3 linked regions of the Macaca mulatta genome follow. The protein of the gene in region 3 interacts with the protein of the main gene of each other region in a biochemical or structural test. Links are inferred from orthologs where the notes say so. Each region holds a gene or a part of one and is shown on either strand. Other genes may lie near its edges. The genes, in order: MAPKAPK2, YWHAB and ZFP36.

What was found.
Region 1: of the proteins of ZFP36 (region 3) and MAPKAPK2, one has a biochemical effect on the other in vitro, tested with the Homo sapiens proteins (2 studies listed by BioGRID). The link is inferred for Macaca mulatta from reciprocal best matches to the Homo sapiens genes ZFP36 and MAPKAPK2.
Region 2: the proteins of ZFP36 (region 3) and YWHAB form a complex in vitro, tested with the Homo sapiens proteins (2 studies listed by BioGRID). The link is inferred for Macaca mulatta from reciprocal best matches to the Homo sapiens genes ZFP36 and YWHAB.

The regions. Positions count from the first base shown.
Region 1 is NC_133406.1:64,477,152-64,479,455, forward strand, and holds the end of MAPKAPK2 (MAP kinase-activated protein kinase 2), read left to right. Parts: exon of another isoform or gene 1-33; coding exon 34-177; 3' UTR 178-1,727; downstream 1,728-2,304. UniProt on the Homo sapiens protein: Stress-activated serine/threonine-protein kinase involved in cytokine production, endocytosis, reorganization of the cytoskeleton, cell migration, cell cycle control, chromatin remodeling, DNA damage response and transcriptional regulation.
Region 2 is NC_133415.1:97,754,923-97,758,091, forward strand, and holds part of YWHAB (14-3-3 protein beta/alpha), read left to right. Parts: intron 1-1,508; coding exon 1,509-1,632; intron 1,633-2,469; coding exon 2,470-2,633; intron 2,634-3,169. UniProt on the Homo sapiens protein: Adapter protein implicated in the regulation of a large spectrum of both general and specialized signaling pathways. Binds to a large number of partners, usually by recognition of a phosphoserine or phosphothreonine motif.
Region 3 is NC_133424.1:50,503,506-50,507,948, forward strand, and holds ZFP36 (mRNA decay activator protein ZFP36), read left to right. Parts: upstream 1-1,506; 5' UTR 1,507-1,548; coding exon 1,549-1,590; intron 1,591-2,399; coding exon 2,400-3,356; 3' UTR 3,357-4,080; downstream 4,081-4,443. UniProt on the Homo sapiens protein: Zinc-finger RNA-binding protein that destabilizes several cytoplasmic AU-rich element (ARE)-containing mRNA transcripts by promoting their poly(A) tail removal or deadenylation, and hence provide a mechanism for attenuating protein synthesis.

The sequences.
Region 1 (2,304 bases), on a different chromosome or scaffold from region 3:
TCTGTACCTTTCCTGGTGCTGCTGTGCCCCCAGGAGGAGATGACCAGTGCCTTGGCCACAATGCGCGTCGACTACGAGCAGATCAAGATAAAAAAGATTGAGGATGCGTCCAACCCTCTGCTGCTGAAGAGGCGGAAGAAAGCTCGGGCCCTGGAGGCTGCGGCCCTGGCCCACTGAGCCACCGCGCCCTCCTGCCCGCGGGAGGACAAGCAATAACTCTCTACAGGAATATATTTTTTAAACGAAGAGACACGGAACTGTCCACATCCGCCGCCTCTCCTCAGCTGCATGGAGCCTGGAACTGTGTCAGTGGCTGAATTCTGCCTTGGCTCTGGCCACCCCAGAGTGGGAGAGGTTGGGAGGTTGGGAGGCTATGGAGAGAAGTGAGCAAGGTGCTCTTGAACCTGTGCTCATTTTGCAATTTTATCAGTAATTTGACTTAGAGTTTTTATGAAACCTCTTTTGTTGTCCTTGCCCCACTCCTCCTCTCCACCAGACGCCTTCCTCTCTGGATACTGCAAAGGCTTGTGGTTTGTTAGAGGGTATTTGTGGAAACTGTCATAGGGATTGTCCCTGTGTTGTCCCATCTGCCCTCCCTGTTTTCTCCACAACAGCCTGGGGTCGTCCCCACTGGCTCAGGCGTTCTGGGAGCTCAAGGCCACCTTGGAGGAGGATGCCATGCACCTCCTCTCTCGGAGCCCTCAGACATCTCCAGTGTGCCAGACAAAAAGGAGTGAGTGTGTGTGTGTGTGCACACGTGTGTACGAGTGCGCAGATCTGTGCCTGGGATCGTGCATTTGAGGGGCCAGGGGCAGGCAGGGCTGCAGAGGGAGACGGCCCTGCTGGGGCTTAGGAACCTTCTCCCTTCTTGGGTCTGCCCTGCCCATACTGAGCCTGCCAAAGTGCCTGGGAAGCCCATCCAAATTCTGAACCAGGCCCTCTGTGGCCTGTCTCTGTTCGCTGGGTTCCGGGAGGCAGAGAGGAGTGACCGGGCACTGGCACAGCGATCAGGAAGACTGGACCCCCAGCCCCAGGGCCCCCTTCCCCCCACTTAGTGCTGGTCCTAGGTCCTCTGAGGCACTCATCTACTGAATGACCTCTCTACTTCCCCTTCTTGCCATTTATTAACCCATTTTTGTTTATTTTCCTTAAATTTTTAGCCATTTCTCCATGGGCTGCCGCCCAGCTCATGTGGGTGAGCCTGGGCAGCTTCTGTTGACAAAGCTTTTGCATTTCCTGTGTTTCTCCTGGGTTCTGGGGCATCAGCCAGCTACCCCTTGTGGGCAAAGGCAGGGCCATTTTTGAGGTCTTCCCTCAGATTTCCATTGTGTGGCCTGGTGGGTCAGGGGGAGTCTTTGCACCAAAGATGTCCCGACTTTGCCCCCTTGCCCATCAGCCATTTGCCATCACCCCAAACAACTCAGCTTCGGGGCCGGTGAAGGGAGGGGCCTCCCCCAGCACAGTTGAGGAGCAGCTGGGGTAGGCTCTCTGTGCCATGGCCCCCCACTCCCCCTTCCCTTGGAGGGAGAGGTGGCAGGAATACTTCACCTTTCCTCTCCCTCAGGGGCAGGTGGTGGAGGGGCACCCAGGGTTGCCTTTGTGCACCGGGGAAGGTGCTGGGTGCCTGCAGCGCCTCCCTTGTCTCAGACGGTGTGTCCAGCACTCGATTGTTGTAAACTGTTGTTTTGTATGAGCGAAATTGTCTTTACTAAACAGATTTAATAGTTGAGAGTTTTTCTTTCTCTTTCTTCCTGGGGCTCAGGCGCTAGCCCCCAATGCCTCTGCGTGCAGAGGGGTTTTGTTGGGTGGTGGGGGTGTGGGTTGGGGGTCCTGGGAGAGGAGCAGAGGGCCTCCTGGGCGAGCAGGGGCCAGCACCTCATTGGTGAGGACCTGGGCAGGATGTGTGTAGGGCATCCTCAAAGCAGGACAGGGAGGCTGCAAGGCTCAAGCCCATGTTCTTTTGCCAAATGCAGAATCAGGAGCCAAGCTCTTTTTGGCATATGATTCTTTGACCTACATAACCACCACCAGGTGCTGGCACCTTTAGCCTGTGAAAGCCGACTGGTATAGGCTCCAGGGAAGACGGGGTGCTGGTGAATTTTGTTGAAATCCTGGAAAAGATACCAGGGGAGCAGGTTAGTGTAGTACCGGCACTCTCCAGGAGGTGGTGATAGGGGTCAGGCAGAAACCAAATGCTCTACCTCGGAGCTAGAAGAGAGCTCAGGATTCCTGTGGCCCATTCTCAGTGCACAGATGAGAAGACTGAAGCCCAGAGCTGGGGCCACGTGATGACTTGACCTGCAG
Region 2 (3,169 bases), on a different chromosome or scaffold from region 3:
ATTGGGAACTTTCTTTTTCTTCCAGGTGAAATCAGGTAAAAATGAACAGTGAGAGCTGCTTTGATGGGAAAAGGAATTCACACTTGGGGACCTACCTCCTTCCCTGCTGGCTCCCTTTCCTAGTTACTGCCCATGACTCCTTTTGAAAACCAGTACAAAGCGTGTCAGCCATCAGGCAGCACCCCTTATCCCTAACCCATTAGGAGTTACACACTGTCTGTCTACAAAGAATATTAAAACAACTACCGCCCCCTGCATCTTCTCACTTTGGTTGATTAAATCCCCTTATAACTAGCTTTGCATTGAGCTTCTCTTTTTATTAGACTCATGGCATAAGAGTGTCATGACTAAATTTGTTGCCTGTTGGTAATTTGGGGGTTTGTTAATGGTGCACTAATTCCTGAATGTTAGGTACATCTGGTATTCAGATGAAGTGTGTCATGCATTCCAAGGGCAAGAAAGTTCCATAATTCATGAAATGTAGACCAACTTTTAAGAGCATCTGAAAGAATGTGAAGAAGAGCTTGGTACTTACTGCCTCTTAACCAGTTTTTCAGGATGCCACATTCTAAAACAACTCTTCGAAAATATTGCTCTGTATACGAAGCTTGGACTCCTTCAGAACTACTTTTGTTGTAAGCATAAATGTTTAAAGGAATTTATTATTAATAGTATTAGCTACTCTTTGAGTGCTTACTACGTGCCAGGCAACGTGTTAAGCGCTTTATGTATGTCAACTTCCTTATCATTATAATTGCCGTAGAAGATGGCTATACCCTAGAAGATGACCCTTCGTATAGCTGAGGAAACTGAGGCTCAAGGTGATTAGGTAATTTGTCCAGAGTCACACAGATACAGATAATAAGTGGCAGAAGAGGGATTTCTACCCAGGTCAGATTGACTTTAAACTTAGTTCTTGGCAGTTTTGCTGTATTATCATCTTTTTCCTCCTAAGGAAAGATTTTTTTCCCCCTTTAATTATAGAAGTAATACCAGTTTATGGGTTTAAAAAGGGTGGGGAGAACAAGTCAGAAGAATATAAATAAGAAAGTAAAAATCACTTCTAATCTTACCACCCAGAGAACCATTATTAACATACTCCTTCCAGGCTTTTCCCTTGTGTATTTGTGAGCATGTACACATATGTATCTTAATGTTAAAATAGGATTCTTGTGGTATTTGTAATCTGCTTTTTTTCACTCATTTCTTTTGAGAGCCTTTCCATTATCGGTGTAGCTCTGCATCATTTTAAAGGCCTACAAAGCATTTCATTGTATGGCTATACTTTAATTATCCCCTATGGATGGTCAAAGTGATTTTTAAAAGAAGAATACAGGCATCTGCTGTTATGACCTGGGCTAAACAACATTTAGTAGCTTGGACGAAAATTGGTGTTTTTTTAATCTTCCAAAAAATTATTTAGAAGCAGTAGTGTGTATCTTGAATCTCAAACATAGTTTTAACATCTTGTGAATAATTCTAAATTCTTAATGTGGATCATTTTTTAGGAGCTGTTGGACAAATATCTTATTCCCAATGCTACACAACCAGAAAGTAAGGTGTTCTACTTGAAAATGAAAGGAGATTATTTTAGGTATCTTTCTGAAGTGGCATCTGGAGACAACAAACAAAGTAAGTAGTATCTTAAGAAATTTGACCAGTAATGGAGCCAGTCTTCGTTCACAGGGACTTTTAACAATTTTGCTTTGTCTGTTTGCCATAGACACCAATGTCACAGTACTAAGAATTTAAAAGACTACAGCATTGTGATGAACGGGGTCATGGGTGGGCAAATAAAAATTTATCTGACAGGGAAATATGGAGGGCATTAAAAATCTGGTGCGCAGTATATTTAAAAAGCTCTTTATCTTGAGTATTATTTATTAGCTCTCTTTTTAGTGGTGAAACTTCTTATACTTGGTAGTATGAAACTGCCCTAGTGATGCATTGCTTTTATCTCATGTATTACTGTGATGCTGATAATCTTAACCACACTTTATTAAGTGTCTATGTGCCAAGTACTTTCCAGTCTCACTTTCTCTTCACACAACCTTACGAGTTAGGTGGCAGGCTGCCCATTTTTCGGATAAACTGAGGTTTATGGAGGTTTTTACTTGCCCAAGCCACAGACCGATGGAGTAAGAGTTGGGAATTAAAGTTAAAGCCTGTGATCTTTGCACTGGAGCATATCGTTTTTCACATTCTGTATTGTTAAAGGTTATAACTGCATTTCTTAACTGCTTTAGTAGACTTTGCCATAATTATTTTCCCCCAAAGCATTTAATATACAACTTGGTTTAGAATAAATATCTAACAAATGTATAACTGAATGGCAGAGACACTGACACCTCATTTGCTAGGTCATTGCTGCTGCCCAATTTGGGATTAAGAAAATAATTTGATAGTTGGTCCAATGTGTGATACCTATGAAAGAACCGAGCCTTTAATATTTTCATCTTTATGTTACAGCCACTGTGTCGAACTCCCAGCAGGCTTACCAGGAAGCATTTGAAATTAGTAAGAAAGAAATGCAGCCTACACACCCAATTCGACTTGGTCTGGCACTTAATTTCTCAGTCTTTTACTATGAGATTCTAAACTCTCCTGAAAAGGCCTGCAGCCTGGCAAAAACGGTGAGAAAGACCCTTTGTGCTATCTAACCATAGCAAAACAGTGCTTGTGTTATTAACTTCTTTTTATTCCTGAACATACTCATTGTCTTGGACTTCTTTTGAAAGATTTTCTGGGGGTGGGAGTGTATCTTTTATGAGATAAATACAGATCTGTTACTTTTTAAATTCATTCTCAATACGTACTGCTGACTTTTGTTTGATTACTGTGTTTTGTGGGGTGGCTGTAGAAAGTTCCAGGTGAATGTAGTTAGTTGTTTCTTGCCAAGCTTTGGGCCTTGGTTATACATTGTCATTCTTGTACCAAGATTTGAGATTATAGTTGTATAAAAGAAATACACACCACATTCTTGTTGTGTGTTGGATTACCTTCCATATTATTCCGTTAGCCTTTTCTACGTTTTTTTTGTAGTCTCTCAACATGCACACACCTTTTTAAAAAAATTATTTGGGAAAGGTGCCTTAAAATTCATCACTTAAATCAGATTTAGTGATGGGAGTTTCACTGTATCCCTTGTATCCAGACCTTTTGAGTTCTA
Region 3 (4,443 bases):
CAATAGCGGGACCACAGGCGTGTGACACCGCACCCAGCTAATTTTTGTATTTTTGGTAGAAACGGGGATTCACCATGTTGCCCAGACTGGTCTCCAACTCCTGAGCTCTCGTGATCCGCCCGCCTTGGGTGCCCAAAGTGCTAGGGCTACAGGTGTGAGCCGGGCAGGAGAGTAACTTCACTTTGGTTTCCTCCTGCCTTAAATAGGCATACCACCTAGCATTAGGATGAATGTGCGTAAAGCATTTAGAACTCAGCCTAGGTGAGTTCTCCTTAACTCAGCCTAGAAGAGATCATCTGCCTGAGGATGAGGGGCTAGAGCCGCCCTGTGACTTGGGAAAGGAGGCCCCTTTTCAGCCTTGCTAGGTATCCTGGACCCCAACCCACTCACTCACCCACCCAACCCCAGCAAGTGGGGAGAGGGAGAGCAGTTCTGGTCTCATCTGTCTGGGCTGTTTAGGAGTGAGACAACACAAGGCAGGCAGTTCTCAGAGAATTCCCCTCCAAGGCCTGCCGGCTCTTTCTTGGCACTTTGCTTGGCAGATTTCTTTCTGTAAGTGCTTGTTTCTCACAGTCTTTCTCCTTTTTGTCCAGTTTTTCTTTTTAATTTTTTTAAATAGTATTTTTTGTAGAGATGGGATCTCACTGTTGCCCAGGCTGATCTTGAACTCCTGATCTCAGGTACTCCACCTGCCTCACCCTCTCAAAGTACTGGGATTGGCCGGGCTTGCTGGTTCGCACCTGTAATTCCAGCTCTTTGGGAGGCCGAGGTGGGAGGATCCCTTCAGTCTCGGAGGCGGAGGCGAAGATCACCCTGGGCAACATAGGGAAACCCCGTCTCTCAAAAAAATAATAATGAAGAAAAGAAAGAAAGAAAGAAAAACACAAAAAGTGCTGGGATCACAGGCGTAAACCACTTGCGCTCAGCCCCTTTCTGTTTCTTTTTGTGATCCTCCCAACCCTCTTCTCCCTCTGAATCTGTCTCTGGGACTGTCTCTGTCTCCCCACCGTCCCTCCCCTGCTCACCCTATCTCTCCCTGTATGTGTCTCTCGGTGTGTGTGTGTCTCTGTTTTTCTCTCTGCCTCTCTCCCTGTCTGTCTGTACCCCTCTGCGTGTCTCTCCCCGCCCCCGTCCGTCTGTGTCGCACGCGCACCCCCATCGGGCCTCTGCCCTTGTCAATTGCCCCTGAAGCCCTGCCCCCACCTCCGCCCCAGTTTCCTTCTACACGCCTCAGTCTCCAGCTTTGAAAACTGGGCAGGCGCCCCCCCGATCCGCACCCCCACCCCGACCCCCACCCTTTCCCCACGCACTCCCCGCCCGGTCGCGGCTGTCCACCGGCCAAGCTCAGGCGCGTCCTGGCCCAGGGCCGGGCGGAAGGGAACCAGTCCAGGGCCAGCCGGGCTGCGCCCGGGGCGCGCGTCCGGGAAGCGCCCCTCCTGCCCCGCCCCTGGCCCAGGCCCCGCCCCGTGCTTGCTGTTTAAGTAGCCGGCTCTCCCTGCCAGCCTCAGCCTGACTTCAGCGCTCCGACTCTCGGCCGACTCCCCTCTAATGGCCAACCGCTACACCATGGATCTCACTGCCATCTACGAGGTGAGTCCCCACCGCACGGCACCCCCGGTACCTGCACACTTGACTCCCCAGCTCTCTAGCGCCGCAAACTCCATCCCGGGACGCTTGCCTCTCTTCTCCAACTGGGGCTTCCTAGCGCCCTGCCCTCCAGCCTGGGGCCCCTGCCTCCCGCTCAGACCAGCTTGGTGATTTGGAGGTGAAAATGGAGCCCACGACTCCCGGCTCTTGGCCCAAACATGGGTGGGGCGGCCCGTGCGAGTGGAAAGTCGGAGAACTTTTCTCAGACCTAGGCTGCCTGGAGGCGGAAGTGGCCCCCACACCTGGCTCACCCCTAGTCGTTGCTGAGGGCGTGGTTTTGCGCGGAGGCGTCTCTGGGGCTGAAGTCTCAGGGTTGGGGGGATCCGACTTCTGTGTCTCCAGTCCCTGACCGTAGTTCTCTGAGAACCCTAAAACCGAAGCCATCCGGACTCCTGGGTCAACTTTGCCCGGTTCCTCCAGTTGTGAAACTGGAGATCCTGACGCGTGGGTCATATCTGGGGAGGGCAAGAGACCCAAAATTGGGAAAAAGTGGTGTGCCCTGACTTCGGGGCCCCCTCTTGGTCCAGCCGGGAAAGCCGGGATTCCTGGGTCCCTCGGGATAAGGCCTCGGTCGTGGGTAAACTCAGAACCTCCAAATCTGGGTTCCTGGCATCCGGAACCCAGGGGTTTTTGCAGGCGGGTGGGGCTCAGGCCAGGAGCCCACAAACCGGCCTGGCAAGCTCTAGTTCCCTGCAGCTGGGGTGGGGCGTCGCCCTGCATTTTCGGGTACCTTAACCGACCCATTTCCGCAGAGCCTCCTGTCGCTGAGCCCTGACGTGCCGGTGCCATCCGACCATGGAGGGACTGAGTCCAGCCCAGGCTGGGGCTCCTCGGGACTCTGGAGCCTGAGCCCCTCCGACTCCAGCCCGTCTGGGGTCACCTCCCGCCTGCCTGGCCGCTCCACCAGCCTGGTAGAAGGCCGCAGCTGTGGCTGGGTGCCCCCACCCCCTGGCTTCGCACCGCTGGCTCCCCGCCTGGGCCCCGAGCTGTCACCCTCACCCACTTCGCCCACTGCGACCTCCACCACCCCCTCGCGCTACAAGACTGAGCTATGTCGGACCTTCTCAGAGAGTGGACGCTGCCGCTACGGGGCCAAGTGCCAGTTTGCCCATGGCCTGGGCGAGCTGCGCCAGGCCAATCGCCACCCCAAGTACAAGACAGAACTCTGCCACAAGTTCTACCTCCAGGGCCGCTGCCCCTATGGCTCTCGCTGCCACTTCATCCACAACCCCAGCGAAGACCTGGCGGCCCCGGGCCACCCTCCTGTGCTTCGCCAGAGCATCAGCTTCTCCGGCCTGCCCTCTGGCCGCCGGACCTCACCACCACCACCAGGCCTGGTCGGCCCTTCCCTGTCCTCCAGCTCCTTCTCACCCTCCAGCTCCCCGCCACCACCTGGGGACCTTCCACTGTCACCCTCTGCCTTCTCTGCTGCCCCTGGTACCCCCGTAGCTCGAAGAGACCCCAGCCCACTCTGTTGCCCCTCCTGCCGAAGGGCCACTCCTGTCAGCGTCTGGGGGCCCTTGGGTGGCCTGGTTCGGACCCCCTCTGTACAGTCCCTGGGATCCGACCCTGATGAATATGCCAGCAGCGGCAGCAGCCTGGGGGGCTCTGACTCTCCTGTCTTCGAGGCGGGGGTTTTTGCACCACCCCAGCCCGCGGCAGCCCCCCGGCGACTCCCCATCTTCAATCGCATCTCTGTGTCTGAGTGACAAGTGACTGCCCGGTCAGATCAGCTGGATCTCAGCGGGGAGCCACGTCTGTTGCACTGTGGTCTCTGCATGGACCCTAGGGCTATGGGGACTTGAGGGACAGTAATCAAGTAATCAAGTAACCCCCTTTTCCAGAATGCATTAACCCACTCCCCTGACCTCACACTGGGGCAGGTCCCCAAGTGTGCAAGCTCAGTATTCATGGTGGTGGGGGATAGAGTGTCTTCTGAGGTTTTTGACCAAAAAAAAAAAAAAAAAAAATGTAGCATATTTAAGGGAGGCAGTGAGCCCTCTCCCCACCTCTTCCCTGCCCAAATCTGTCTCATAGAATCTTACGTGCTGTGAATAATAGGCCTTCACTGCCCCTCCAGTGTTTATAGACCTGAGGTTCCAGTGTCTCCTGGTAACTGGAACCTCTCCTGAGGGGGAATCCTGGTGCTCAAATTACCCTCCAAAAGCAAGTAGCCAAAGCCGTTGCCAAACCCCATCCATAAATCAATGGACCCTTTATTTATGACGACTTTATTTATTCTAATATGATTTTATAGTATTTATATATATTGGGTCGTCTGCTTCCCTTGTATTTTTCTTTCTCTTTTTTTGTAATATTGGAAACGACGGTATAATTATAAGTAGACTATAATATATTTAGTAATATATATTGTTACCTTAAAAGTCTATTTTTGTGTTTTGGGGCATTTTTAAATAAACAATCTGAGTGTAAGCTGGGATCCTGGCTTCTTCGCGGTCTAGAGACAGGAATGGGGAGGTAGAGGGTGACTTTTTGGAAGCTGGGTGCAGTCAACTCTGCTTCTCCGAGCCTCGCGGCGCTTACCTGGCAGGAAGTGACGTCACCGGGCCTGGCAGTTCACCTGAAAGGGTGGGACCAGGTGAGGTCACCAGATGGGAACCGGGGGAGCCAGTTCCCGGGCGTCGGGGGCGCTGCGCTCCCGTCCTGCCGGGCTCCTTGACCTAGCTCTCGGGCGGGCGCGGGCGGGGACTGAATGTTTCCGTCCCCACGGGGCCGCGGGAGGCGGGAGGCGGGAGGGGCCGGGTGGGGAGGACGGAATGTGCCGGGGCGCGGGCC